Linked DNA regions of Pelodiscus sinensis. The protein of the gene in region 4 interacts with the protein of the main gene of each other region in a biochemical or structural test. Links are inferred from orthologs where the notes say so. Each region holds a gene or a part of one and is shown on either strand. Other genes may lie near its edges.

Region 1 (7,820 bases), on a different chromosome or scaffold from region 4:
GCGTCCAGATTCAGCCGCTGCTGAAACTGATCAGTTTCAACAGCGGCTGAATCTGGACGCCACTTCCGACTTACATACAGATTCAACTTAAGAACCCCAGGCATCCCCAAGTCAGCTGCTGCTGAAACTGATCAGCGGCTGATTCCAGGAAGCCCGGGGCGGGGCTTCCTGTAGTCAGCCGCTGGTCAGTTTCAGCAGCGGCTGACTTGGGGACGCCTGGGGCAGAGCAGCTGGGGTGCTGCTGGGTTGGTGCTGGGGTGCTGCAGACCAGGGAGACGCTGAGCAAAGCTGCGGAGGACCCGGGCGGGACCGCGGCGCTCATCTGTCTCCCCTTCCCCCCCCCCCCAGCAGACCAGGGAGACGCAGAGCAGCTTTTCTCGCCCCAGAGGATGCGGGCGGCGGGACCGGGCGTCCTGCCGCTCCCGTCGTCCGGGGCTAGAAAATCCCCGTTCGTAACTGCGGATCCGACATAAGTCGGATCCACGTAACTCGGGGACTGCCTGTATTTCAAAATTGAAACTGCAGTCTAGACGCAGTTATTTCGAAGGGAAAAAAAAAACCCTCTTTCGAAAGAACCCGTACTCCTGAAAAAATGAGAAGTATGGGTTCTTTCAAGAAAGGGTTTCCCCCCCGAAATAACCGCGTCTAGATTGCGAGTTAGGAAGTGGAAATGGCATGCCCTTCCTGGACTGTGCTGTGTGCAGCTGGACCAAGCCTCGCCAGCCCTTGCTCCACACCCTACCCCCTGCCAAAAATAAAAGCTCAACTATGCCTATGCCCCAACGGACCCTCCCCTAGCCTGGAGACCGGAGTCCTTCCAATGCCTCCTTGGCCCTGGAGTTTTTATAACATGTCGAGGGAGAACTGAGAAAGGAAAAGGCTAAGGACCCCTTCTCTAGAGCTTCCACACAATCACTGTCTGTTGAGACAGGCCAACTAAAATACATCTCCTTTGATCTCAAGAGCCTGTTTTTATGAATCTAAGCACTAAAAAGGTAATTAGAAAATAAGTCTACCATAAATCATAATCTTACCTTTGGGTGCTAATTTTAGCATATCACCAGCATGAAAAGAAATTTCTTCTTCTGAAACAGCAGAGAAGTCATATTCTGCTCTTCCCACTACATGATCATCCTCTCCATTTGCCCAGTTATTAGCCACTGTTTCACAGAAAAGTTAAAAAGCAGCAAAATCATCTGGATCTTTAAAGTGAAACTCAAACTAAATTTTTCCACAATTATACTAAGTATACAGGACTCTGTAACATTTATGAAACACTTTATATAATAAAAGTGTTGTACAAACATTTATTATAGTAACAGGCACATAGGGCACTATGCAATTACCAGTCTTTTTAGGTGCTTCAAGCAAGGCTTCAGAATCCATATTTAGGCCTCTGCATATAAGTGTCCTGGTTTGCAGAAGTTTCTATTTCAAATCAACACACTGATAGACTGAATAAAGCAAGCAAGCAAGCAAACTCCCAAGTTTTTTCCTCAATAATGAATGTTATTAGTAAAAGGCTATACTGCAATACCTAGTTGAATCTTGTTGCTACATAAGTGTCTGTATAAGAATCCTAATTCAGCAGCTGTATGCATGTGAAGCAGACCCAGAACTCAGCTGTAAAATCTTCCCTTCTCTAGAAGTAGGACCTCTTTGAAAGAGAACTGAATGGATCCATTAACGTGGGATCAAAGAACAGGCTATTTTAATACCTTAATCACAATCACCATATTTAATTCAGCATGTTTAGAGTATAATTTACTAATATAATTATGGCAAGAATATTCCGTAAACTATACACCCTTCACTTTGTTGATCTCCTTTACCTGTTTCTTCATCACTGTACGTGGAGAGCAGCTTCCAGATGAGATAGGGGCCCCCAAGAATAACAGCAAAGAACAAGAAAATGGGCCAGGATTTTGCTGAGTTAGCTGCCCGGTCCTCAGAGCCAATGCGAACCACAGTTCCTTCACTTTCAGCCCACAAATCCTCATTCTCAGAGCTCTTCCGCAGACCCAGCAGCCGCTGCAGTCGTTTGTAGAGGTATCTTATAGTTCTGACTAATGCAAAAGCTGAAAACACCTTTGTGAAGTGTATTTTGAGTCGGGAGAAATGATTGGCTACATCCAATACAGCCCGGAAACTGTTATAGACAGCTGAAAAGGTAGCATCCATCATCATACTGACTGAGGCAAATGCATGCACAATACTTTCAATGGACTGAAATGCACCTCTGCTGCTCTCTTCGGCCTGCTGAACAAACCTGCTGGGCGGCAGATCATCTGTACGAAACCGATTATAACCCAAACCGCCATATCCGTAACTATAAGGGCTGTAGCTTCCATAAAAGGAGTTTCCATACGAGCTGTAGCCTGGAGAAAAGGAACTGCTGTACGCAGGTCTGAAAGTGCTCAGGTTACTGTTCCCTGCCTGCTGTGATGGTCTTGGCAAAACAGGCGGAGGTACTCGTGTGAGTGTGGGTTGTCCAGGCCTGGTCAGCAAGCTGGCACCCAAATCAGCAGCTCTAAGTAAATCCAGAGGATCAAAATCAGGACCATAGTCATGTTAATATTCACATTGCCCCAACGATCTGCATGCACTGTGTGTAGGGGAGGGGGCAAAGTCCACGTGACCGAGTCGAGGGAGGGGGGCATGGCGGGGTCCCTCCCACAGGAAGTCTCTCTCTCCCCCTCTGTGGGAAGGGGGGCAGGACCTGGCTGGGGGAAGATCCTGGGAGAGTCTCTCCCCCCCCCACCCCCGGAGTTGCCATTTTGGGTTGGCTGTACCCCCGGTAACGTTTCACTAACGACCGCTCTGCAGGCTCCAGGCCGCTCCTGGCAGGCGGGAGAGGGGCGGGGCCGCACTCACTGGAAGGCCGAGGCCGCGGTGCCCGCGAGGCGCCGGTTCTCCCAGGGCTTGGGGGGCGGCGGCTGAGACGCCATCTCCTGCGCTGCAGCTCCGCGGCGCCCGCCCGGCCGAGCCACCCAGGCCAGTCCCGCCCCTTCCCTCCCCACCTGACCGCGGCCTTGCCAGGCCTGACAGCGGGAGGGCCGAGCGGCACAGCCGCCGGAAGGGGCGGTGACTACGGGCCCGGCCGCGCGTGCGGATCGATGTCTCTGGCTGCCGCTGCTCAGGCCTCCCCAGCTTTGCTTTGCTGCCTTCTGTCCGATTCCCAGAGCGTTTCCGCCCTCCCTGCTGAGGGTCGCCGGCAGGCTCGTCACTGGCGGCAGCGGAAGGGCACGTGATGCGAAAGACGCGGCGGCCACTTCCGCGAAACCCCGGGTAGAGTGACGGCTCCGGAACGTTCCTCCTGGGACGCCTGTTGCCGGGGGGAGGGTAATGCGCGCGCACGCTGCGTCCAGTGTGCAGACAGTGAATGGTTCCCGCTCCTTGCGCCGGGCGGAGCAGGTAGGAGACGCGCCGGGGACAGAGCAGCTTGCGGGTCCGTGCGGGAGTGTAGCGCCCGAGGCAGGTGTTCAGCCCTGTGGCGGCGCGTGGTGCTGCGCGGGGATTTGCGGCCTGGCGGGGCCGAATCAGCTCTTCTGCGGCCCTCGGGCTGTCAGGTTGGGGGCGGGGCAAAATGAGCGTGTCCGAAAGCGGGAGAGGGCTCTGGGGTGAGCCCGGCGGTTGGGTGTGCGAGAGACTCAGGGCAGGAGGTGCGGGGTCCTGGGTTTGGGTGGGAGGTTGTGCGGGAAGGAGCTCGGGGCTGAGGCAGAGAAATGCGGTGGGGGAGTGGGGTGCTTTATTTTTGGTAGCCCAGACTCTGGGGAGGGGAGGAGAGAGGGCAGGAGACAGTTGTATGTTGCCCTGCTCTGGCCTGCAGACACTGTCCTCCATAGCTTCCATTTGCCATGATTTATCTACAATAGGAGCTTCAGGGAGGGGAGCTTCTGGTGCTTTGCAGCTCCATCCCGGTGGTAGTGGAGGAGGAACTGGAGTGCACAGAGCTGCCTTTCCCCCTCAGTCTTTCAGGGCTAAAACATAAGGGCTTTAGTGGCTGCAACCTAGAGCCCCAGGTGGAGGGGGTCTTGCAAAAAACCCTGTGAGTTGGCATCCTGAAGATCTTTTGGGGGGCCCCCTTAGCCCGGGGCCCTAAGCTGCAGCTCCTAAAGCCCCTTTCTTAATGTAACCCTGCCTAAAGGCGTGGCCATCAGTGTCCACCCATGTTGCTCTAGCTGGTTTTGTATCAGGCTGGGCAGGGTTATCTTCTTTTAAATGCACTGGGATGCTTGTGATCATCCTATTGCTCAACCTGTATATAGTTGCATAGGCACTTTAATGTTTAATTGTGATAGGGATTCCCCTTAATATATTTGAACATATGATCTTTGTGTGAATGAACTTAATAGCATTCTATCCAATATGCACTCAGATTTCCACATATGGTTAAGGTGGGTGCCATTATACATTCATCGGCTTTAAAGTCAAAAGGTCTAGGGAGAATTTTGTGTCACAGTGCATTTGCAGCTCTCCCCCTCTGCCTGACTATTTGATTTCCCTGCAGAATTATAGATTCTGATGGGGAAGCAAAGAGAAGATGAGAGAAGGGTCATATGCCCCTGCTGAAGCCTGTCAGTTCTGGAGCAACTAGGAAATGCGTAAATCATTGGTGGGAACATGCATGCGAGACACTCTCTTGCTGACTATCCCAGTGCATGCAGGAGGTGTGTGCTTCTTACTCCCATTGTTGCACCCACCCGATGTTAACATTGAGTTACACGTGACCGTGCTGTTCGTAAGCGCTGATTGCGTTCGTAACTCGGGGTTTGCCATTTGCAACAGTTTTGGTCGTAAGTCGACCGTTCACAACTCGGGGACCGTCTGTAACTTTATGAATTCGTATTGGTTAGTCGACTATTCTGTAGTCTCTGGGGCAGGAGCTGGCAGCCAGTGTACTCCAGCCTCACTCCCGAGGAGCCCCTGGCCACTCCGTGCTGCTGCCTGTGATAGAGGCAGCAGTACGGGGTAGCAGAAGCCACTGTCTGGGGTGGGTCTGAGCTCCTACACCCAGGGTGATAACATATAAGCTTTTGCTTATTGGTTAATTGACTACAGTATTATATCCCTGCCCTGCAGAGGTATAGAGCTGAGACAAACAGCTGTGAAGAGCCTTGGCCTTGAAGTGGGGCACCTGTGTCTCCTCAGTTTTGCACCAGAGGTCTATTAGCCATGCATGACCCAACCCCATGAATCCTCTGTAGTAATGTAGGACTTATCTTCGCTACCATACTAAATCAGTGCCGCTGCAGTGCATCTGGTGAAGATGCATTATGTTGATGAGAGAGCACTCTCTGATCCACCTAATTACTCCACTGTAAAAGAAGAAGTTATGTGGGAGATTGTCTCCTGTAGGAACTGCTTTAAATGCATTTAAGTTATGTTCCTCAGGGATGGTTTTTTCCACACTGCTTAGCAACTGAGCTTATATCGACTTAAGCAGTAGCATAGATAAGTCATTAGAGTTGTCCGCATCCCATATTGGGGGGAGGGATAGCTCAGCAGTTTGAGCATTGGTCTGCTAAACCTAGGGTTGTAAGTTCAATCCTTGCAGAGGCCATTTAGGGATTTGGGGCAAATATTTGTCAGGGATGGTACTTGATCCTACTGTGAAGGCAGGGGACTGGACTCAATCACCTTTCAAGGTCCCTTCCAGTTCTACAAGATAGGCAATCTCCATTAATTTTATCCAGCAATTGGGGATATTTGGTAATAAGGCACAGATGGGTCACCTGCCAGTGTAGGCAGTCTCATCACATGGACTCCTGTGTAAATTTACCAGTCTGTCTAAAAGTCGGTTGTTTTTCATCCCCACTGTAATCTTGGGAGAACTTTACTCCTCTGATAGATTTCAAATCTACATTTGTTGTTGGTCAGTTAGTATTGATTTGTCTCAGTGCCAGCACTGACCAGTAACTTAAATAATTCCTCTTTTTCCCTTGTATATATCCCTCTGATGTATTTATAGAGAGCAATCATATCTCCCCTCAGCCTTTGTCTTGTTAGGCTAAGTAAGTGAGGCTCCTTGAGTCTCCTCTTGTAAGGTAGGTTTTACAGTCCTCTGATTTAGTGACACAAATGCTTAACTAGTAAGCCTCACCCTTAATGGGCTTATAGTTTTTGGATGTATTTTTTTCTTAAAAATAGTAACTATATTAGAAATTCTCCAATCATAGGATATGATCCCCGAGTTTATGGATTCGTTAAAAATCCTTGTCATGGGGTATGCAATTTCATATGCCAGTTTCTGTAATAGTCCTGAATGGGGATTATCTGGGCCCCTGGTTTGGTCTCATTAAGATGTTTAAGTTTATTCAGACTTCTACCCTGGATGTGATTATTTTTACTTCCATTACCTCATTTTCATCAATTACACTGACAGTACCCTTAAGCTCCTTGTTTTCTTTATTAAAAACGGAGGCAAAAAGTATTCTATTCAGTCAGCAATACTCAGGCCTTAGTGATTCAAGAGCCAAATTAGCAACCAACATTACTCAAAAGAGACATAGTAGTGTGAATTCATTGTTTAATTTGCTATAGTATTTCATTGTTTTCATTTGCTATAGTTGATATCGAAAGTTTTCTCATAGCAAATAAGTTAGTAATTGGTTAATAACATAGTAAAAGCATCTTGATTATTTAATAGCTTAGATTAGTTAATAGTTAAATCACACAGTGTGTAAATATCTTGCTGAAAAGAACAATGGGAGATGTCCCTTGTGAGCTGCAGTCTCAGTTTTGCTGGTTTAAGTGTAGGGCTATGCCTAGACTATCTAATCTCCACCCCATCCTCAGTGCTTAACTGTCCCACTTCTTATTTCCTTGTTTTCTTTTTCTTTGTATAGCTATAGAACCTTTTATTTTGGGTTTTAATTTCCTTTTCTTGTTTTTTCTATACACTGACCTCCAAGAGTTAGGATAGATCTTCCATTCCTTGTAGGCTTTCTGCTTTCTCTTGATAATCTGTTTGACATGTTAGCTCATCCAGTGTGGTCTGCAAGCCATCCTTTGCTTGGGATGGTGGCTTCAGGTACTTTAAGTAAAAAGTTGCAGAAACTAACTCCAACCCTCCTCCACCTTTACATCCTCGAGTTCTTCAGTTCAGTCTTCTTTTCTACCTAATTCCCTTAATTTTTTAAAGTTTGTCCTTTTGCAGTCAAGGACCCTAGTTGCAGATCTAGTTTTGTATATCCTTCAATTTAATTTAAACTGAATTAGCTCATGATTGTTTGAACTAAGATTGTCCTCTACACTGAGTTCTTCCATGAAGTCCTCACTACTTACCTATATTTTATCTAAAATGGCATCTCTTCTTGTTTTGGTGACTGGTGAAGAAATCTATCAGTTCTCACATCCAGGAGTATCTGGGTCCTGCCATTAATAGTAACACTTGTCCTCCAATCTATGCTTGAGAAATCAAAGACTCCCATAATCACACAATTTGCAGGAGTGTTTCATTAAAGATGCCTCTATTCATATCTAAATTGGATTCCAGGGTCTGTAGCTTATCCCAAGCACAATCACAATAGGGCCTCTTCTAGCTTTCTTCCCCAAAGTGATTTTGGGGAAACAGACTCTAGGGCTGTGTCTACATTGGCACCCCTTTCCGGAAAAGGGATGCTAATGAGACCAGTCGGAATTGCAAATGCCGCGGGGGATTTAAATATCCCCCACGGCATTTGCAATTCCGACTGGTCTCTTAGCATCCCTTTTCCAGAAAGGGGTGCCTATGTAGACACAGCCTAGGTGTCATTGTTGGAGTGGTTGCTGTGTCAGTACTAGATGGATTTCTTTTCCTAAGTAACTATCCTTGGGAT
Region 2 (7,581 bases), on a different chromosome or scaffold from region 4:
GCTGCCCCAGGTCACCATGCCCTCCTGCCCCAGGTCACCATCCAAACCCTCTGCACTTCCCTCCACCAGACCACAACTCCCTCCCAGACCCTACATCCCCTCAAACATCCCTCCCCAGGTCAGAATCCTCTCCTGCACCCTTACCACCTCCTAGGCTCTGCACCCCAATCTCTTGTCCCAAGTCACAACCCCCTACTCCACTCAAACTCCCTTCCAGACCCCTCTCCTGTAACCCAGTCCCCTACCCCAACCTCCCTTCTGCACCCAACCTCTGTCCCAGACTCTGCATCCCTGCTATAGAAAAATGTGGCCCTTGACCACTTACCAAAATCTTTTGAATGGCTCCCTATCAAAAATCATTGCCCACCCCAGATCTAGAGGTTGATCATGCTTCTGAGATGTACAAACAGATCTTTTTATTTCACAGGAAAATGGGGCACAGTGAAATCATCTGGACTTGTGGAAACCATTTTGTATGATCTGGGGTTTAAGACTATGGTCAGGATGAAGACAGGCAGAGAAATGGACAGGCTAGGGGCATCTAAACAGTGGCCTGGTCCAAAACCTATTGAAGTCTATGAGTCTTTTCATAGACTTCACTTAGCGTTAGGTCGGGTCTACTGTTTTCCCTCCATACCTCAACAAATTAAGAACAAATGATAATATAGTTCCACACTTCATTATCTTTTCCACAGAGACTTTTGATCAGCGGCTACTGTGACCATAGGTACACACTGCTAGCCACACAGCCAGGAAACCAGGGTCATTGGGAGTCAATATGGAGGCATTGGGGCTCTGCAATAGCTGGCTTTGGCTTCCTACATATCCCTGAGACCTCTTGAGCTTTTGTGGGTGCCTGGGTGGAACTCATGGGCTGATGCGGTTGGTCTCAGCAAGGGCCTTCAGAATCTCTTCTCACTGGTTTTTCTGAGGGAAGAGAATCATTTGGGCCTTTGTTATAATGAATGAAGTTCTTTTTCAGGATTTTCATGTACTGCTCTATCTACCTCTTGATCTCATCCCTATTAAATATTCACTTTGTAAGATTTTCCTTGAAATGTTGGCCATTCTACAGGGGTGGTATTTTGGGGATTGCCCTGACCCACTGAGGTTTCTGTCACTGTCTGCCTCTAACCTAGGCTGCCTTAAAGCTGAGCTGCTATAGCTCAAAGTCCTGCCATTGCTAGCCTGTCCACAAGCAAAATAATCTCACTCTGGCTTCCAGCAGTCTTGTTACACTTTGCAGGGTAACTATTTGTTATGTTAGTCATGCAATAACTGCGCGCGTGTGCGGGTGGGTGAGTGTAGACTTAGCCATTGCTGTTTTTTCTATTATTTCTTTTCCTCCATATTGAGAAACGACTACAGCACAAATTATGGCCATAGTTTTATATATTCAGAAATACATAAATTCATAACCGGAGTCATTATTTCTCATAATGACCATCAACTTAAGAACATTACAAGTTTTCGTGAAAGGCCTTACTTAGTATACTTTTATATGATGGTAACTCTGTATATAATCAGTTGATTCAAATGATTATTCTTTGGGGTTCAATCCCTGTTCTCCCTCTGAGGTGCTGGCTGGGATCCTGATTCTCACATCAGGTAGAGGGGGCATGTCTAGTCTAGAAAATATACACCTTTTATGATTGCCTTCTGTTTGTGTAACCTTTTTGCAGAACTTTATTATTCATATTTACCTTTCTAGATAGTATGCAAAATCAGTTGATGAACTTTCTCCAACTTTTTGATGTGCCAGTGGCAAATTGTCCATGGTATAATATGGGAATTGCTATAGTATAATAAATAAATGTTGATTTAGCCTTTTGTATGGTATCGCTCTGCTTTGAAGCTCAATGTCACAAGTAGCATATGCTTTTTAATTTTAGCAAGGATTTTGCAGTCATTGACGGTTCTACCTGACAAAACATCGACCAATTTCTTATTTGATTTACATATTACACATCCCCACCAAAGTACTGGCATTCCCCACGCTCCTTCTTGCAGCTCAGGGCAGCACTGCAGGTGAGCCCCACCTTAAAAGTCCCTAACTGGAATAGGTTTAACAGCCTGGAGCAAGAAAAGTAAACACACACTAGAAAAGTACCAAGTCCCTTTTTAATAGTTTCAGGGCAGAAGCAATTACAATACAGGCAGTCCCCAGGTTACGTACAAGATAGGGACTGTAGGTTTGTTCTTAAGTTGAATCTGTATGTAAGTCGGAACTGGCGTCCAGATTCAGCCGCTGCTGAAACTGACCGCCAGTTCTGACTTACATACAGATTCAACTTAAGAACCCCAAGTCAGCTGCTGCTGAAACTGATCAGCCACTGATTCCAGGAAGCCCGGGGCAGAGCAACTGTGCCTCGGGCTTCCTGTAGTCAGCGCTGGTCAGTTTCAGCAACGGCTGACTTGGGGACGCCTGGGGCAGAGCAGCTGGGGTGCTGCAGGGTTGGTCCAGTAGTGCCCAGAGCGGCGCTGCGGGACCAACGGGCAGCACCCCAGCTGCTCTGCCCGAGGGTCCACAACAAAAGCCTGGTCTGCTGGGGGGGGGCACACTACCTGCGCCCCCCCCCCCCCCAGCAGACCAGGGACACGGGGAGCAAAGCCGCAGCGGCGGGGTGCCTCGCCTCTGAGGTTTTGCTCTGGCACGGGACCCGCTGCGGCTTTGCTCCCGGTGCCCCTGGTCTGCTGGAGACGGTCCCCAGCAGACCAGGGGCACCGGGAGCAAATCCGCAGCAGCGGCGGGGTCCCGCGCTTCTGAGGCTTTGCCAGAGCAAAGCCTCAGAAGCGCGGGACCCCGCCGAGGCTGCGGCTTTGCTCGTGGTGCCCCTGGTCTGCTGGAGACGGTCCCCAGCAGACCAGGGGCACCGGGAGCAGCTTTTCTTGCCCCGGTGGTCGAGGTGGCTGACCGCTGCCTTCGAGCTCCGGGGCGAGAAAGCCGCGTTCGTAAGTGCAGATCCGACATAAGTTGGATCCGCGTAAGTCAGGGACTGCCTGTATACAGTTCATAAGATCCTCACCTCAGAAGCCTCATTCAGACTTCTCACACTTTAGAGTTCACAGAACGGAGTCTTTGAGGATATAGTTGCACCACAACTGAGAGAGGTGTGATTCCCAGAATGGGTAGACAAGTTCACACTAGTTTCAGTCAAGATAGTGCATTACGTATATAGCAACATGAATGTTGTGGCACTAGCAGCAGCTTGAAATAAAGCCATTGCTGTTGCAAGTAAGAGGGGATATAAAGACTGATTCTGAAAACATTTAGCCTATGTCTACACTGCAAGCTTTTTGTGCAAGAACACTTGTTCTTGTGCAAAAACTTGCTGAGAATCTACACTGCACGCGCATTCTTGCACAAGTAAATTTACAGTAAAGCATCGAAAACAGGGCTTCTTGTGCACGTTATTCCTCTCCCCGTGAGGAATAAGCCCTCTTGCGCAAGGGCTCTTCCACAAGAAGGCAGTGTAGACAAGCAACAGGGGTTTCTTGTGCAAGAAAGCCCTATGGCTAAAATGGCCATCAAAGCTTTCTTGTGCAAGACAGTGTCCACACTGCCATGGATGCTCTTGCGCAAAAGCACATCTCTTCCACAAAAGCACATGGCAATGTGGACGCACTCTTGTGGAAGACCTTTCGCACAAGAACTCTTACGCAAAATGGTTCTTGCACAAGAAGCCTGCAGTGTAGATGTAGCCTTATTGCTGCCCTGCACACTCTCAGGAATGTCTATCAGGCGCAGAACCTGTATACAGCAAGACAGATCCTTGATGGTGCCTGCCCGCACAGCTCTAGGGAAGTAAATGAAGCAAGGCTCATTTGACACCAGCTGATAGAAGACTGAGGATGAGAAGAGTCATAAGTTCCAAGGCAGCTAGTCTGACCCCCTGCATAGCGCACAACATCCCCTAGGGAGGCTGAAGGGACGAGGAGTCCTGTGGCACCTTATAGACTAACTGAAGTGTTGGAGCATAAGCTTTCGTGGGCAAAGACCCACTTCGTCACATGCATCTGACGAAGTGGGTCTTTGCCCACGAAAGCTTAATGCTCCAACACTTCAGTTAGTCTATAAGGTGCCACAGGACTCCTCGTCGCTTTTGCAGATTCAGACTAACACGCTACCCCTCTGATACTAGGTAGGCTGAGGAGCTCACGGGAGTCAGTGGGCTCAAGTTCAGCCCGGCCTTGTCTCAGCAGAGAAGGCGGCGGAGGGCGGAGCGCCCTGCCAGCTGTGCGCATCCCGCCCCTCAGAGCTGCTGCGAAGGCGGGTGAGGAGGGAGCTGGCGGGCAGCGGGCAGGAGGATGCTGGTGCACGGGCACCCCATCAGGCCCCACGTTTCACCGCAGTTTCCGGGGCTGGTCGGGGGACGCCAGGCTCGAGCTCCCGCTGTAATCGTGCGTCCCACCCCGAGGCCCTGTCCAGAGCGGGCCGGGGGCGGGGCCCAACCCGGCCTGTTGCCCCTGACAACAGCCAGTGGGCGGGCCCCGGAAGAGAAGCTGCGCGGCCGCGTCTCGCGCAGGCCCCACAGGGCGGCGGCACCGCTTCCTCAGCCCCGCCCCCTTGCCGGGCGCTTCCGGAGCCGATCCCACGTGCGCGCGCGCGCGCGGCGGGGACTGGGCCGGGGTCAGGGGGCCTCGCTTCTCGCACCGGCCCTGCGGCCATGAGCGCCTGGGCCTTCCGGTTGCCGGGGCGACACGGCTACGCGGCGGAGTTCTCGCCCTACCTGCCCGGCCGCCTGGCCTGCGCCGCCGCGCAGCACTACGGGATCGCCGGTGAGGGAGGGGCCGCGTTTCCCCCCCCCCCGGCCCCCCCATCCTGGGACGGGGCTGCTGGGGGCGCCCACCCCCCGGAAGCCGCAGGAGGAGCCCTCGTGCCCTCCCTTGGGCCGCCGCGGGGCCCTGCCCGGTGCCCGAGCCGGGTCTGGGGAGCCCGGGAAGTGCCCCGGTCCGAGGCCTCCGCGTGTCTCTTCCGCCTTCCCCGCGCATCAGCCTGTGCGGCTCGCGGGGTCTGCCTGTGTCGCTGGGCAGCGGCGTTTGGTCCGCCCCCTGCTGGGAGCCCGCTGGCAGCTGTCAGGCCTCGGGCGGCTTCTTTCCCCCTCGGGTGCCGCTTCCAGAGACAGCGGTTCTGGACGTGGGGTGCGGCTACTGACTTGGTCCTCTAGGAAAAACCTACCAGGCGTCCCTGTGGCAACTTAGAGACTTAAGAGATTTATTAGGGCAGAAGCTTTCTTGCTTTTTGAACGCTTGTGCCCTAATCAACCTGTTCGCCTCTCAAGTGTCACAGGGCTCCTCATTGTTTTTGCACATACTAACAGGGTTACTACCCCTCTGAGACTTTGGTCCTCTAGATCAGTAAAATACCGTGTTTTGTGGGGTTTTTTCTCTTGCCCCTGTGTGGACAGAAGTGTGTGTGCGCGGGGTGGGGAGATTGCTCATGCTAACTAGCATGTGAAATATGCACGGGGATCTTTTGACCTGTCAGTTACTGAGCTGAAGAGTTAGGGCACATTCTCACTCTGCTGTTCTATCAGAGTTTTCAGTTTCTCTGTGTTTAGAGACAAAGTCCCATGGTCACATAGACTACAAATATTTTCTAAATATATATAAAATGGAGGCTACTACTACTGATGTGGCAGTTTTCTAATTTTAGATAAAGGGTACTGTCAACTTTAAGCTTCTGTATTGCAAACAAATTTGTATTCTGCTAAGAAGAAGTTTAGGTTATTGAAAGTGAATAAGTATTTAAAACCCAATTTATTACTTGCAGTTTTTGAGAGAATGTTAAGAAAAATTATATGTTCACATAGTCCCAGTCATGCTAATATTTGCAATGAGAGTACACCTGTTAAAATCAGTTGGGCTACTTGTATAAATCCTGGCACTCACATGCAGAAGTGTCTGTTTGCATTACGTTTGAGGCTTTTCAAACTTTATTTAGTGGTTAAATTACATTCTGAACTGTTCATCTACCTTAAGAATTGTATTGTTACTGTTTGCAGGCAGAAGGTCCTACAAATGATAATTTGCAATGTCTAATAAAAATGGGTACTTTATAAATAGTGCTTATGTTCCTGTACAGCAGATGCAGAAAAAAACTCTGTTAAAAATAACAAAAATAAAACATTGCTCTTTTTCATTAACCTAGCCATAGCCTTTCATTAGCTACAGAAGGAATGTAGCTACAGTAAGCCAGCATAGAATTCCAATCCTTCAGACACTTAAGGATACTAGGGATGCAAAATGCTGGTTAATCATTAACTGGTTAAACCTAAGGTTTAAGTGGCCTCCCATCCCATCCCTTCTACCTGCCCCTTCTGCTCCCAGCAACTCCTGTGCAAGAAGCTCCCAGCTTCTGCTGCCACCCACTCCTTGCCCCTGCAACCCATACCCCCAGCTGCTCCCGGGTACCAGTTAACCAGAAACCATTTGATGTTTTGCCGTTTCACTAAAATGGAAGTAATAGAACCAGGAGTGTTTTGCTTTCAGAAAAAAAAGACTATTGGCTGAGACTACTGAGATGTAGCTGCTTCATAGCAGTGAAAGGATGTCTATTTTATAGTACTTTAGTCTCCCATTGGCTGTAAGAGTTTGGTCTGATTTCAGTTGCTGTATTTAGCATATGGAGGTCAATCGGTCAAACTGGTGATCTAGTCTTAAACACAGTTGGTAATTAGGTAGCAGGTTACTTTATAGCAGTTAAATATTGTACTGATTCTTTCATTCTAAACTTTCTGGTATTGTTTCATTTCTGGGAGGGAGATAATGTGTTTAAGAGGAAAAAAACCCAGATCTTTTCTATTTAACCAACCATAACAATATGGATGATGGGTGGGTGGAGATGGGTGACCCATTAATACTTCCAAAAATATGTACAAAACTCATAAAAATACATATTGAAAGTATGTTGCCAAATACTGTTTAGCAAATCAGGGGAACTGCTTTTGGAAAGAAAATCCAGTAGTAAAGGCACTCATTTCAGCCTTGTATATGATTTTTTTTAGTTGATTTGATGTCAAAAAAAGTGACAGAAGCCTTGCATATTCACATGGTTACAGTTAATGCGTTTGTATGTGCAAATAGGGCATTATGTTGCTAACTAGACATTTAGATATTTAAGTACTTATTTGTATGTACAGATTTGTCCTGAATTATGGAATTTTCCTGACTTGTCCTGAATTATGGAATTTTCTGGACCTCGGGAGATCCCCTGCCACTGGCTCCCTGCCTGCTGCCTCTCAGTGCTCCTGGCTCCTCTATTACTCCAGTTGGTCCCTCTGCCTCTGGATCCCCCTACTGCTGGTCCCAGACAGACTATCAGCCCTGCTGTCTTTGACTCCCATGTTGACCAGGTTGTCAGCCCTGCTGCTGGGCCATGGGCTCTAGTTTCACCCCTGCACTGCTGTGGACTGCTGGGTGCTTTGGCCCTGTGCTGCAATGGACTGCTGGGGGCTCTGGCCCCACATTGCTGGCCCTCCTGCCACAAGTCTCCCCAAGTTCTCTGGTGCAAGAACATCCTGGATATTGCTGGACCAGAGAGTGTCAGTTTTGGTAGGTGCAACTTGCATTTGGAAAACT
Region 3 (7,405 bases), on a different chromosome or scaffold from region 4:
AGGGTGCACTGGGGGGCGTAGGAAAGGTCGGATGGGAGGGTGCACGGGGGGGGCGCAGGAAAGGTCGTATCGGAGGGTGCACGGGAGGGGCGTAGGAAAGGTCGGATCGGAGGGTGCACTGGGGGGGCGTAGGAAAGGTCGAATTGGAGGGTGCGCGGGGGGGCGCAGGAAAGGTCGGATCGGAGGGTGCCCGGGGGGGCGCAGGAAAGGTCGGATCGGAGGGTGCACGGGGGGGGACGTAGGAAAGGTCGGATGGGAGGGTGCACGGGGGGGACGTAGGAAAGGTCGGATCGGAGGGTGCACGGGGGGGACGTAGGAAAGGTCGGATGGGAGGGTGCACGGGGGGGGACGTAGGAAAGGTCGGATCGGAGGGTGCACGGGGGGGGACGTAGGAAAGGTCGGATGGGAGGGTGCACGGGAGGGGCGTAGGAAAGGTCGGATCGGAGGGTGCACGGGGGGGGACGTAGGAAAGGTCGGATGGGAGGGTGCACGGGGGGGCGTAGGAAAGGTCGGATGGGAGGGTGCACGGGGGGGACGTAGGAAAGGTCGGATCGGAGGGTGCACTGGGGGGGGGCGCAGGAAAGGTCGGATCGGAGGGTGCACTGGGGGACCGTAGGAAAGGTCGGATCGGAGGGTGCACGGGGGGGACGTAGGGAAGGTCGGATCGGAGGGTGCACGGGGGGGACGTAGGAAAGGTCGGATGGGAGGGTGCACGGAGGGGGGCAGGAAAGGTCGGATCGGAGCGTGCCCGGGGGGACGCAGGAAAGGTCGGATCGGAGGGTGCACTGGGGGGGGCGCAGGAAAGGTCGGATCGGAGGGTGCACTGGGGGGGGCGCAGGAAAGGTCGGATCGGAGGGTGCACGGGGGGGACGTAGGAAAGGTCGGATCGGAGGGTGCACGGGGGACCGTAGGAAAGGTCGGATCGGAGGGTGCACGGGGGGGCCGTAGGAAAGGTCGGATCGGAGGGTGCACGGGGGGGGACGTAGGAAAGGTCGGATCGGAGGGTGCACGGGGGGGACGTAGGAAAGGTCGGATCGGAGGGTGCACTGGGGGGGCGCAGGAAAGGTCGGATCGGAGGGTGCATGGGGGGGACGTAGGAAAGGTCGGATGGGAGGGTGCACTGGGGGGGCCGTAGGAAAGGTCGGATCGGAGGGTGCACGGGGGGGCGTAGGAAAGGTCGGATCGGAGGGTGCACGGGGGGGCGTAGGAAAGGTCGATGGGAGGGTGCACGGGGGGGACGTAGGAAAGGTCGGATCGGAGGGTGCACTGGGGGGGGGCGCAGGAAAGGTCGGATCGGAGGGTGCACTGGGGGACCGTAGGAAAGGTCGGATCGGAGGGTGCACGGGGGGGACGTAGGGAAGGTCGGATCGGAGGGTGCACGGGGGGGACGTAGGAAAGGTCGGATGGGAGGGTGCACGGAGGGGGGCAGGAAAGGTCGGATCGGAGGGTGCACTGGGGGACCGTAGGAAAGGTCGGATCGGAGGGTGCACGGGGGGACCGTAGGAAAGGTCGGATCGGAGGGTGCACGGGGGGGCGCAGGAAAGGTCGTATCGGAGGGTGCACGGGAGGGGCGTAGGAAAGGTCGTATCGGAGGGTGCACGGGAGGGGCGTAGGAAAGGTCGGATGGCAGGGTGCACGGGGGGGCGCAGGAAAGGTCGTATCGGAGGGTGCACGGGAGGGGCGTAGGAAAGGTCGGATCGGAGGGTGCACTGGGGGGGCGTAGGAAAGGTCGAATTGGAGGGTGCCCGGGGGGGCGCAGGGAAGGTCGGATCGGAAGGTGCCCGGGGGGGCGCAGGAAAGGTCGGATCGGAGGGTGCACGGGGGGGGGCGTAGGAAAGGTCGGATCGGAGGGTGCACGGGGGGGCGTAGGAAAGGTCGGATCGGAGGGTGCATGGGGGGGGACGTAGGAAAGGTCGGATGGGAGGGTGCACGGGGGGGACGTAGGAAAGGTCGGATCGGAGGGTGCATGGGGGGGACGTAGGAAAGGTCGGATGGGAGGGTGCACGGAGGGGGGCAGGAAAGGTCGGATCGGAGGGTGCACTGGGGGACCGTAGGAAAGGTCGGATCGGAGGGTGCACGGGGGGGACGTAGGGAAGGTCGGATCGGAGGGTGCACGGGGGGGACGTAGGAAAGGTCGGATGGGAGGGTGCACGGAGGGGGGCAGGAAAGGTCGGATCAGAGCGTGCCCGGGGGGACGCAGGAAAGGTCGGATCAGAGCGTGCCCGGGGGGACGCAGGAAAGGTCGGATCGGAGGGTGCACTGGGGGGGGCGCAGGAAAGGTCGGATCGGAGGGTGCACGGGGGGGGACGTAGGAAAGGTCGGATCGGAGGGTGCACGGGGGGGACGTAGGAAAGGTCGGATCGGAGGGTGCACGGGGGGGACGTAGGAAAGGTCGGATCGGAGGGTGCACGGGGGGACGTAGGAAAGGTCGGATCGGAGGGTGCACGGGGGGGACGTAGGAAAGGTCGGATCGGAGGGTGCACTGGGGGGGCGCAGGAAAGGTCGGATCGGAGGGTGCACGGGGGGGACGTAGGAAAGGTCGGATGGGAGGGTGCACTGGGGGGGCGCAGAAAGGTCGGATCAGAGCGTGCCCGGGGGGGGCGCAGGAAAGGTCGGATCGGAGGGTGCACTGGGGGGGGGGGCGTAGGAAAGGTCGGATCAGAGCGTGCCCGGGGGGGGCGCAGGAAAGGTCGGATCAGAGCGTGCACGGGGGGGGGGCGCAGGAAAGGTCGGATCGGAGGGTACCCGGGGGACCGTAGGAAAGGTCGGATCAGAGCGTGCCCGGGGGGCGCAGGAAAGGTCGGAGTGAGCGGCCGTGTTCAGTTGCAGCCCTCACCTGGAACATTTCCTTGTGGAGGTGTCCAATGAGCTGGCGACCTCCTGCAGCCAGGATCCGGGGCGGGACGGTGGAGGGCCCAGGCCCCAGGAGCAGCCTGTCCGGGATGGCCAGCGGCTGGCGCAGCGCCTCGGGAGGGGCCACCAGCAGCTGCTGGGAAGCCATGGCGCGGTAGCGGGGCGCTGGGGGCGCAGGCAGCCAGAGAGGAGCCCGCGCCGCTGCCTGGAGCCCTCGGGAGGCCCTGCCCATCGCCACCCGGTGCATCTTCTGGGGCAGAGATCACAGAGTGGACCTTCACCCTGCCGCTGGGCCTGCTGCCACGGGCCCCACAGCCTGCTCCTCTCGGAGTCTGCCCTGCTAGCCGCGGCCACTCCCAGCCCTCGCCCTGCCACACTGCCCTGTGCAGCCCTGGTAATAAACGCCCGGGTCCAGCGCCACGCAGCCGCCCCCCGACGGCCCCGCAGCTCCCTGGCTCCTCCTCTGTTCCCTCTGCCCGTGAACTCTGCACCGGGGGCTGGGCGGGGGCAGGGTGCTGCTCCGGGGGGGTGTTTGTCTAACCTGCCCGGTCGGAGCGGCTTTCCCCACAGCTCAGCGAGATAACAGGCCGCTGCCCCGCTCCGCCCGATGTGGGCGCGTGGGGAGGGGCCTCACTCGCCGTCCGGGGGGTTTGCTCTCATCACGGTGCCCGAGCTCTGGTAGCCGTGAGAGGTGCAGCCGCAGTCCCTGAGCACTCCGGGACCTCGCCCGAAGAGCTGCCAGCCTCAGTGGCCGAGATGCAAGGAGGATGGGAGGCAAAACAGGCACAGAGAGGTGGGGGGGTCTCGCCTTAGGCCAGCTGGCAGGGCAGCGGCAGAGCCGGAGCAGGCCCAGCTCTCCCGAGTCCCGAGTCCTACTCACGAGGTCATTGCTCCAGGTTGCTCAGACCCTGGGGAGTGGAAGTCCAGGATGTTTCTGTGACGGGCCGGGCCAGGTCTGGGCGCAGCTGAGGGCGTCCGCTCAGGGCAAATTGCTCAAACTTGGGGCTCCCCACACCCCCCGACTGGAGACCTTCCGAACAGGCCACAAACCAGTCCCACCGAGCACCTCAGCTGCCAATCTGGCCAGCCTGAAGCCTCACGAGCAAAACCCCGACACCCCAGCTCTCTCCGTGCCCCAAACAGCCCCAGGCCTGCACACAGGTGCGGGGTTATAGAACCCAACCCCACCTACCCCAAACGGGTTCTCCAGTCCCAAAGAACCAGCCACAGCTCCCAGGTCAATTTACCCTCTGGATCTTGCCCTCAAATCACACTGGGCCAACCCTTTACAATCTGAAATCTAAAGGTTTGTTACTAAAGAAAGAAAAGCCTGAGAGTGAGGTTGTTAAAGTATCCTACATGACATGTGTGACGGCGCGTTGAGGTCCCCCGTCTCCTGCACCCCGAAATGGCACAAACAGACTGCACCAGCCGGTGGAGTAGAGGAAGTTTATTGCCTCTCCAGGATACAGCACAGCACAGATGGAATCTGGTCACAGAGCTGGGCTAGGATGCCTCAGGCCCCCTTGAGTTGGGGGGAGACCGGGCCCCTAAACTCTAGCCCCTTCCCTAGGCTGTCTCCTCCATGCTCCCCGACAGCCAGCCACTAACTAACTCTCTTCCCGCCCTGCCCCCCAGCCAGGGCAGCCTCCACCTTCCTTTGTTCCTCTCCATGGGGGGTGTCTGGCCACTGGTTTGCATAGTGACTCATCCTGTTTTGCTGGGTCGTGGTCCCCACGACAGCCAGTGGGGGTTACCCCAGAGCCAGCAGCATAGAAACCAGCCAGGTACCCCCACTACGTCACAACATGCATCGACTCTCCAGTTCTCGACGCAGGCTCTAGCAGAGATTGTTACAGCTGCTGGCTTAAAAGTCTCTGGTTACATCCCATGTCAGGATGGGTCCATGGTTCTTTCTGGCTCATTGTTCCCTGCAAGGCTGCATCTGGGATTCGGAGCAAAACCAAAGACAAGAAATGGAGTCTGCCACATGGCATTTTACATCCATCCCTGGTCTCTTCCCAGCTGGAGAGGGTCACATGGCCAGAGCCAGGTGTGTCTTCGGCATTTCGAGATCCATTGTCCCCAGAGCCTCGCTCATTAGCATAGCCATTGGCTGAGCATTCCTGGCCCATAGCTCAGCCACAGACAGACGTTCCCAGCCTCCCTACATGGTCATAACTCCACACAGACGTTGTACAAGCACATGAAGAGCAGATACAGACTCAGGGGAAGTTTAGCTTTTGTTTGACACCTCACATGGCCCCTTTGTACCACTTTTGGGGCACCCCCCCCATGGCCCGGCTGCTCCCCTTAACATCCAGTAACGTGACAGTTTCCCGACACATCCCTCCGGCCCCTTAGCCGTGGGCAGCGTGGCCCAGGTGCTGCAGTGCTTGTGGCCTGGGCTCCGCAGCGCAGCTTGGCAAAGGGGAGTCAGGTGGCGTGTGGGCGCTCTGAACTCTCACAATCTCTCTCTTCCTTCTCATGTTCTCCTCCCCCTCCCACTTCCCTGCCCTGCCTCACTCTCAGCCCCACTCGGGCCCAGCTCCGATGCCTGGGAAGGCTGGCGAACGTCTCTCCAGTGCTGTAGGACCAGGCCCAAGGTGCCAGGGAAGTCCATGGGGTGCAGGGTGGCGAGGCAGGCCCTGGCTTAGCAGGTGTGACGACCCAGGGCAGCTGGCTGCAATGGTTTGGTGGCGGGCAGGCATGCCAGGAGCTGGGTGAATGGTTTTCCGTTTCCTGAATAAACTGCCAGAGACTGCGGCCCTGTAATGAAGGCAGCCATGCTCCGGAGGCTAATTACGAGCTTGCCTGAGGCAGCAGGCTAATCCGGCACCTGCAGCCAATTAAGGGCTGTGGGGCTGCTTTAAAAGGTTTCCCCCCAGGTAAGGGAGTAAGGTTACTGGGTAGGTTTAGAAAAAATAACGGACACACTTGGGCAGGGGGGACTGGGAGGGGGGGCAGGGGCAGGGTGGCTGTGGGAGATGGGGGGGCTGGCAGGCGGGGGGTCAGGGCAGCACTGCTGGCCGGAGGAGATGGGGCTGATGAGCAGGGGGTTAGGGCAGCGCGGCTGGCCTGGGAGATGGGGGAGAGTTCGAGGGCAGCATGGCTGGCCAGGGAGATGGGGGAGAGTTCGAGGGCAGCATGGCTGGCCAGGGAGATGGGGGAGAGTTCGGGGGCAGCATGGCTGGCCCGGGGAGATGGGGGAGAGTTCGGGGGCAGCATGGCTGGCCCGGGGAGATGGGGGAGAGTTCGGGGGCAGCATGGCTGGCCCAGGGAGATGGGGGAGAGTTCGGGGGCAGCGCGGCTGGCCTGGGAGATGGGGGAGAGTTCGGGGGCAGCATGGCTGGCCCGGGGAGATGGGGGAGAGTTCGAGGGCAGCATGGCTGGCCAGGGAGATGGGGGAGAGTTCGGGGGCAGCATGGCTGGCCCGGGAGATGGGGGAGAGTTCGGGGGCAGCATGGCTGGCCAGGGAGATGGGGGAGAGTTCGGGGGCAGCATGGCTGGCCTGGGAGATGGGGGACAGTTCGAGGGCAGCATGGCTGGCCCGGGGAGATGGGGGAGAGTTCGGGGGCAGCGCGGCTGGCCCGGGGAGATGGGGGAGAGTTCGAGGGCAGCATGGCTGGCCCGGGGAGATGGGGGAGAGTTCGAGGGCAGCATGGCTGGCCAGGGAGATGGGGGAGAGTTCGGGGCCAGCATGGCTGGCCCGGGGAGATGGGGGAGAGTTCGGGGGCAGCATGGCTGGCCCGGGGAGATGGGGGAGAGTTCGAGGGCAGCATGGCTGGCCCGGGGAGATGGGGGAGAGTTCGAGGGCAGCGCGGCTGGCCCGGGAGATGGGGGAGAGTTCGGGGGCAGCATGGCTGGCCCGGGAGATGGGGGAGAGTTCGAGGGCAGCATGGCTGGCCAGGGAGATGGGGGAGAGTTCGGGGGTCAACATGGCTGGCCAGGGAGATGGGGGAGAGTTCGGGGGTCAACATGGCTGGCCAGGGAGATGGGGGAGAGTTCGAGGGCAGCATGGCTGGCCAGGGAGATGGGGGAGAGTTCGAGGGCAGCATGGCTGGCCCGGAGAGATGGGGGAGAGTTCGAGGGCAGCATGGCTGGCCAGGGAGATGGGGGAGAGTTCGGGGGCAGCATGGCTGGCCCGGGAGATGGGGGAGAGTTCGAGGGCAGCATGGCTGGCCAGGGAGATGGGGGAGAGTTCGAGGGCAGCATGGCTGGCCAGGGAGATGGGGGAGAGTTCGGGGGCAGCATGGCTGGCCAGGGAGTTGGGGGAGAGTTCGGGGGCAGCATGGCTGGCCAGGGAGTTGGGGGAGAGTTCGGGGGCAGCATGGCTGGCCCAGGGAGTTGGGGGAGAGTTCGGGGGCAGCATGGCTGGCCTGGGAGATGGGGGAGAGTTCGAGGGCAGCATGGCTGGCCCGGGGAGATGGGGGAGAGTTCGAGGGCAGCATGGCTGGCCAGGGAGATGGGGGAGAGTTCGAGGGCAGCATGGCTGGCCCGGGAGATGGGGGAGAGTTCGGGGGCAGCATGGCTGGCCCAGGGAGATGGGGGA
Region 4 (7,227 bases):
ACTTCAATGGAGCTGTTTAAATTGACTGTCTACATATACACAACTATGTAGATTACATGCAAATAAACTTTGCCAAAAGAACATTATTTAGGTCATAATATCAAGCATTGAAAAGTTAGGATGATCAGAATTAAGGTTCTCTGTGCAACATTAAGATACCATTTTTAAAGTCTTGTGTTTTTACCACAAAACTACTGTCTCTTTCAGTGGAGCGGTGCATAGTGAATGAAGTGTTGCCAATTCATGATTACATCACAGGTTTCATGATATTTGGTGTATTTTCTTAAAGCTCAGCTCTGGGAGTCATTCATTACATGAGAATCTCAGCTTTCATTTTAAAAATTAAGTTTCTAACCCTCATAGTTGTGAAGACAATCTTGACAGCAATTATTTCAGTAACCGGGTTTGGTTCTTTAAAGAATTTGAAACCACAGACAGAGGAATACTTCTTTTTAAGGTCAAACAAAGATTTTTTATTTTTTCTATTTACTTTATAATTAATTTTCAATGTAAATCAATTCACTATTTTTTATTCTTTTAAGACAATATAATATACAAAGAAAAAGCAGAAAAACAGTACAGTTTAAAAAAAACAAGAAATAATAACTTCTCGTACAGATATACCCTCCTGATTTACCTTTAAACAATTTATGGAGTTAACAAATATATAATACTTACATTAAGAAAGATAGAAGCATTGCTTAGATTCAGGAGGTATTCTTTTCTTTATGTTTTTCCTTTTTTTGGATTTTTTGTTGCAACTTACGACCGGTGTTGTTCCCCTTTCGGAGCTTATGTGCAGCAGCGAGATTCAGCGCCGGGGAGGGAGCTCTGGTTGATCAGACCTAGCTTTTTGGATTCGCAACCCGTCCACTCTTGGTCTGTTCCATCCAACCTTATATACCCTGTTTCGGTATTTTGGTACTCCTCCACTCGCCTGACAATTGCTGATGTTAGATTTTTGTTGTCTCATTCTGCCCTTACAAAAACTTTCGTCTGCTCCATTTGGGGTAATCAGCACTTTGTTGCATACTGCCGTCTGAGTTACTTACTTCCCTAAAAGCGGGGTTATTGTTGGTCATCCAATCAAATTTTGTTTTTATTTTACATCTCCTGTATCTCACGATGCTGCCTTTCCTTTACACTTACATTTAAACTGGTGCTCATTTGACATATTCTGGGTAGGCCTCAATACCTTCCTTTCACAAATTCCAAGAAAGGCTCAAAAAAACAGAAAGCAAACAACCCCCACACCTTGCATTTATTATTTTTAAAATGTCATGACTTTTGAACACGTGGGGTTAGCAATAATGGGAAAGAGGCAACTGTTCAATATTTCTTATTTTCCTTCATCTTTTACGATGTGTCCCTTTCTCTTATTTAATGCACACCACCCCTGTCATGCATTATTTATTCTTATTTATTTCCTTATGTATTTTTGTGCTCATCTGTATAGTAGCTGAGCCTCACAAATACTAATAAAAAGCTCTCCACATTTATACTATGAAATAAGAAAGCACCATTATTCCCAATTTAAAGATGGGGAAGCTGAGATTGAGACTTGCCTGAGCCTGAGGTCACAAAGCGTATCAATGGCAAAACAAGAATTAGAACTCAGACATTTCTTAATTACCCAGTCTGTGCACATGTCTCCAAACCACACAGTATTACTGCCAGTGCCAGATGTTCCATATGCCCACAACTCCCATTGATCTTGTGAGCACTCAGCACTACTATGAATCAGGCTCCAAGCTGGCCTATCTAAATTTGGGCATTCAGAAAATAAGGAATGCACTGTTAGTGGCCACCTGATAATATTCTGGTTTAAGTAACTTGCCCAACATCATATAGGAAGCTTGAGGCAGAAGCAGGGGTGGGACTGAGCTCTCCTCTACAGTATTAACTTGCCTAAGCCACAAGACCATCTTGTCTCTTTTTGCAGCCCGTCCTTCCTCATAATCTTTAAATGTAGGGTTATCATATTTGAATGTTCAAAAAAGAGGACACCCCTAAGAGGGAATGTATCTGTATCAGTATCTACCAATGTGTTACATTAATATAATATAATATAATATAATATAATATAATATAATATAATATAATATAATATAATATAATATAATATAATATAATATAATATAATATAATACAGATATATTCCCTCTCGGGGTGTCCTCTTTTTGAAAGTTCAAATATGGAAACCCTATTTAAATGTCTTCTAACTTCGGGGAAAAAATGGCAGGGATCTTACGAACAGCTTCATTCACTGCACAATTGTGATTCCTTCCTTCAGCACTGGACCTTCTGTGTGCAGTGATTAAGAATATCACATAGTGTTTTCTGAGGGTTTTGTTCTCAAATGGTGCTTAGCTCTTTAGAGTTCTTTGGTCTTGCCCCCTCAATTTACCTGTCACTTTCAGAACTCCATGTACTGATTGATCTCCCGATCTGATCCTCTGACCCAGCGTTTCCCAATTTTATTTGGCCACGGAGCCCTTTTCAGCTTAAAAGAATTTCAAGGAACCCCTAGGGTTACCAGAGTAAAATGTGTTAAGAAATAAATAAATAAATAAATAAAGATCCACCAGAACTGGTCGAGCAAAAAATAAATAAATAAATAAAAAAAGCTGCAAAATAGACTGTGTCTTTAAGAGAGGACAGGGGAGTGCCACATTCTCACGGAACCCTTTCTTTTGCTTTGTGGAACCCTGGGGTTCCGCGGAGCACCAATTGGGAAACACTGCTCTGACCAATAGACAGCTTCTTCTGTTATTGTAACATGTGTAATACTGTCTTACTTATTAGAGCATTTATCAGGAAACTGCAAGTAAAACACCAGCACACACAAGCTGCACTTAATTTCTTCTTAGACTCCAGACCAGATTGGATACAGGCCATCCTCACTATAAGTCCAAGATACGTTCCAAAAAAACCTTGGACTTATAGCAAAACTTAAAACGGGGAATTTTTTTCTCCCGCGGCTGACTTTCATTTATGCAAAAAATTTTTTTTTGCATGACTTAAGAGCAGGGAATGGAAGGACTTATAATGTATCAGTTCCTATAAGCGTCAACAACTTTAGTGTGGAACGGATGTATACCAGGGTGACTTATAGCGGGAACGCCTTGTACAACAACATCATATGAAAGCAAGTCAAGAATTTAAATAAAGGATACCTTCTGATGGAGGGGCTGTCGACACTGACCATTACACATGGGCTGTGTCTAGACTGGCCAGTTTTTCCAGAAAATCAGCCGCTTTTCCGGAAAAACTTGCCAGCTGTCTATACTGGCTGCTTGAATTTCTGCAAAAGCACTGACTTCCTACTGTAAAAAATCAGTGCTTCTTGCGGAAATACTATGCTGTTCCCGTTCGGGCAAAAGTCCTTTTGCGCAAAAGGGCCAGTGTAGACAGCTGAGATTTGTTTTGCACAAAAAAGCCCCGATCGCGAAAATGGCGATCGGGTTTTGTGGAAAAGCGCGTCTAGATTGGCACAGACGCTTTTCCGCAAAAAGTGCTTTTGCGGAAAAGCGTCTGTGCCAAACTTTTCCGTTAAAAGCATTTCCGGAAAATCATGCCAGTCTAGACGTAGCCATGGTATCTGGTCCTGTAAGAGCATGCAGGGGTGGCCTCTCAAGACACCTAGACCTAGCACTTCACTAACTTATTGATAATGCTCTGATTTGGCAATTGGCCCTGGCCTGTCTTAAGTCTTATTTTCACTAGGAAAGGCAGGCTGGCTTCCCTCACCCCGCTTACCCTGATCAGCCAGTGTGCTAGAATTACAACTGCCTTGGCTACACACACACACACACACACACACACACACACACACACACACACACACACACACACACACACACACACACACACACACACACACACACACACACACACACACACACACACACACACACACACACACACACACACACACACACACACACACACACACACACACACACACACACACACACACACGCTTCCAATCCCCCTTTCTGCCTAGTGGAGACGTGTCCTGAACAGGCGTGGAGCCCCTGGAGTCCCTGTCGGGCGCCTCGCCCTTTCAGAGCGTGCTGCTCAGCTCTGCGGCAGGCTAAGCCCTGGCGGGCCCCGGGATGCTCTCTTGGCGGCCTGCTCCTTTAAGAGCCGCCGGAGCGGCGCAGGCGGGTGGGGCACGTCTCGGGCTGCGTGGCCCTTTAAGAGCCCAGTTGTGGCCTTTGAAACCTCGCTCCTGGGGGGACACTGGGCTACACGCGAGCCCGGCTGGGCTGTTCCCTGGCTCCTCAGGCCGGCGATGCCTCCCCTGCGCCGGGCCGCGGCGAGGAGCGCGGTGCCTGTCTCTTTAAGCGCGCGCCCCGCCCCCTGCTGCTCGGTGCGCGGTGCGGGCTGCGCTGCAGGGGCCGCCGGGGCGCCAGGTAGCGAGGGGGGCGGGCGGGTTGCAGGTGCCCGAGCGCGGGGGGAGAGGAAGAGCCGGGGGGGGGGGCGCGAGGCCCCCCCTCTGTCCTGGCCCGTGGCAGCCCCAGCGCTTCCCTCCGGCCGCTCCGCTCGCGCCAGGCTGCGGGCGCTGCCGGGGAAGGGCCTTGGCCATGCCGCCCCTGCCCTCCGCTCGGCCGCCGGGGCTGCGCCCGCTCGGGTGGCCCCCGCAGCTTGCTCACGGGGCAGGTGGGTGCTGAGCGAGCACCGCCCCAGAGCCCTGCGGTCACGTGAGCTTTGTGTTTGTCTCCCCCAGACGGGGTGAGGGTCCTGCGGGTGCAGCGCCCCTACCCCCACCATGGCCATGAGGGAGCTGGTGGAGCCAGAGTGTGGGGGCTCCAACCCCCTGATGAAGCTGGCTGGCCACTTCACCCAGGACAAGGCCCTGCGGCAGGAGGGTCTGCAGGGTTCCTCGGCCTGGCCGCCTGCAGGTCTTGGGGCAGAGACAGTGAGTACCAGGGCATGGGGTGGAGGGTCCTTCTGCCAGCTCCTGTGAGGCGGGGTCCTGGATCAGTGAGGGTCAGGGATGCACTGGGGGGGAGGAGGAGTGAGGGTCTGAGTACAGGGGAGGCTATCAGAGCAGGTGGGAGTGGGGAGGCAGGGAGTCTGGTTGCCCTATCCCTGTTGTGGAGGCTGCTTGTGGAATCACTAGTTAAAGTAGTAGTGGTGGTGGTGGTGAGGGGATGTATGTCCAGTCACAGCAGAGGTCTGCCCAGAAAGGGGAGATATGGTGGCTGCCTCACCCATAGAGTGGGTCTGCCTAGGTGGGATTTTGGTCCTGCTATGTGTGGGGGGTGTCATATCATTCCCATCATAATGGGTGACTGATGCTGTAGGCAAGGTCCCACCGCTGGGGTGATTGTTTGCCTACTTTTCCCACAGGTCTCCAAACCTTTGGGAGTGGCCTCTGAAGATGAGGTAAGAATAACTGTATTGCTCTCCATATCACCTTTCTTACTGCCACATTTTCTTGATTCCTCTTCACTCTTTCCATCTCTCATTCTCTGGTTTTTGTCCTCCCTTCTCTTTCTCCTGTTTTCTGTCCCAGAGTCTCTGCTGGGTATTCCCCCTCACCCACTCTTTCTCTCTCCCTGACAGCTGGCTGCAGAATTCCTACAAGAACAGAATGCCCCCCTACTCTCCCGTGCCCCACACACCTTTAAAATGGATGATCTGCTGGCTGAGATGCAGGAGATTGAGCAGTCAAGCTTCCGCCAAGCCCCGCAACGAGGTGAGGTGGTGGAGATAGAGTTTGGGGCTTCTGCAACCCCTACCTACACCTCCCCGTGAGGTGGTATGTCTGGAGGGGGACTGAATTTAAAAAGCCTGCTTAGCTAGAGCAAGGGGTGTCTGTAGATTAAGAGACAAGAATTTAATCCTTGTGGGGGTGTGGCACTTGGGGCTTGTCACTGAACTCTCCCCCATCTCTTGCTGTCCCTAGCTCCAGGTGTGGCAGCCCTGGCTCTGTCTGAGAACTGGGCCCAGGAATTTCTGGCGACAGGAGATACCACAGCTGATGTCTCTGCAGATTACAATGAAGCTGATTGGTCACAAGAGTTCATTGCAGAGGTGACAGGTGAAGGCTCCTCTTGTGTAGATTGGGTGGTGTGTTGCCTGGTAGTATGTCCTACTCTGTTCTCCCATGTAGGAGTTGTCTGTTATGTGAGAGAGACACTCCAGACAGTGCTCAGGGCACTTTGCACAAGCAGCACGTGCCTCAGTGGGTCACACTGGTACAGTATGCGGGGTGAAATTACTCTGATCTAGAGTCCGTGTTTAAGGCCCGAGGGGACTACCAGATCAGTTAGTCTGAGGTCCTGCACATCACAAGCCACCAGCATCCACGCTAGGGATGTAATAGTGTAGTCGCTTAACTGATAAGCAAAAGCTAATAGGTTAATGCTATAGACCAGTGGTGTGCAACCTTTTTTGATCTGTCACCCCTGTACTGCGGAGGCCACCAACTGCTGGGCCCACCCCCTGGCCGGCCAGATCTAAGCACCACGACCCCCCTGGAAAGACATCTGCGACCCACAGGTTGTGCACCACTGCTATAGACTACATGCATTTCTGCCCCCCCCCCCCCCCTTGCCAGCACATTTTTTAGCAGGTTGGACAGCATCCCAGTTCAGTCCTGGCTTGCACTGGGTCCTGGACCTACTCCTGCTGTGCCTCTGCATTTAAAGTGTATTAGGAGCAGGCAGCCTGTCTCAGTTCTGGCTCGTGCTGAGTCCAGGAGCTCAGACCCCTCCCCCACTGGACAGGGGCTGCCCAGGGACTCTAGAGTAGCTGACTAACTGATAAGAATTCATGAGGTTAATCGACTAATCAAGTAACTGATATTTAACATCCGTAACAATGCCCTTTGACTGAAATAAGAGTGTCCTGAGAGATTTGCACCAGCTTGTTGCACCAGGTGGGGAAGAGTTGCCCAAGGCTATACAGCATATAGGTGGTGTGATATGGACTGTAGTCTGCTCCAGATCCCTCCACTTCAACCAACTGAATCCCTACATTAAACTGTTGGGCAGCAGTTAAATAGCTGCTATGCCCCACCCCCGAGGGGGCTGCTTTTCACTGATCCGTGCAACCATCCATATTTATTTCTTTCATATACCTGTTGGAGACAGGCATCTAATTAACATTTATGATGATCTTTGACAGGCTCTGATGAAGAGCTAGAAATTTGCATCAGGAAAATGAATTCTTCATTGCAAACAGCAACCCAGTTTGCTGTTGTCCAAGATTTCC

Evidence for each region.
Region 1: the proteins of PEX5 (region 4) and PEX13 form a complex in vitro, tested with the Homo sapiens proteins (3 studies listed by BioGRID). The link is inferred for Pelodiscus sinensis from reciprocal best matches to the Homo sapiens genes PEX5 and PEX13.
Region 2: the proteins of PEX5 (region 4) and PEX7 form a complex in vitro, tested with the Homo sapiens proteins (3 studies listed by BioGRID). The link is inferred for Pelodiscus sinensis from reciprocal best matches to the Homo sapiens genes PEX5 and PEX7.
Region 3: the proteins of PEX5 (region 4) and alanine--glyoxylate aminotransferase are reported together in a solved structure, tested with the Homo sapiens proteins (2 studies listed by BioGRID and IntAct, with this or other methods). The link is inferred for Pelodiscus sinensis from reciprocal best matches to the Homo sapiens genes PEX5 and AGXT.

The regions. Positions count from the first base shown.
Region 1 is NC_134713.1:180,189,093-180,196,912, reverse strand, and holds the start of PEX13 (peroxisome biogenesis factor 13), read right to left. Parts: upstream 3,013-7,820; 5' UTR 2,949-3,012; coding exon 2,875-2,948; intron 2,798-2,874; exon of another isoform or gene 2,773-2,797; intron 2,531-2,772; coding exon 1,833-2,530; intron 1,161-1,832; coding exon 1,035-1,160; intron 1-1,034. Other genes in the region: tRNA pseudouridine synthase Pus10, read left to right, coding at 4,601-4,670. UniProt on the Homo sapiens protein: Component of the PEX13-PEX14 docking complex, a translocon channel that specifically mediates the import of peroxisomal cargo proteins bound to PEX5 receptor.
Region 2 is NC_134713.1:97,640,022-97,647,602, forward strand, and holds the start of PEX7 (peroxisomal biogenesis factor 7), read left to right. Parts: upstream 1-4,571; 5' UTR 4,572-4,667; coding exon 4,668-4,779; intron 4,780-7,581. UniProt on the Homo sapiens protein: Receptor required for the peroxisomal import of proteins containing a C-terminal PTS2-type peroxisomal targeting signal. Specifically binds to cargo proteins containing a PTS2 peroxisomal targeting signal in the cytosol.
Region 3 is NW_027465993.1:1,582,356-1,589,760, reverse strand, and holds the start of alanine--glyoxylate aminotransferase, read right to left. Parts: upstream 3,017-7,405; 5' UTR 3,002-3,016; coding exon 2,837-3,001; intron 1-2,836. UniProt on the Homo sapiens protein: Peroxisomal aminotransferase that catalyzes the transamination of glyoxylate to glycine and contributes to the glyoxylate detoxification.
Region 4 is NC_134711.1:137,879,478-137,886,704, reverse strand, and holds the start of PEX5 (peroxisomal biogenesis factor 5), read left to right. Parts: upstream 1-4,221; 5' UTR 4,222-4,418; intron 4,419-4,732; 5' UTR 4,733-4,774; coding exon 4,775-4,924; intron 4,925-5,358; coding exon 5,359-5,394; intron 5,395-5,574; coding exon 5,575-5,707; intron 5,708-5,917; coding exon 5,918-6,052; intron 6,053-7,227.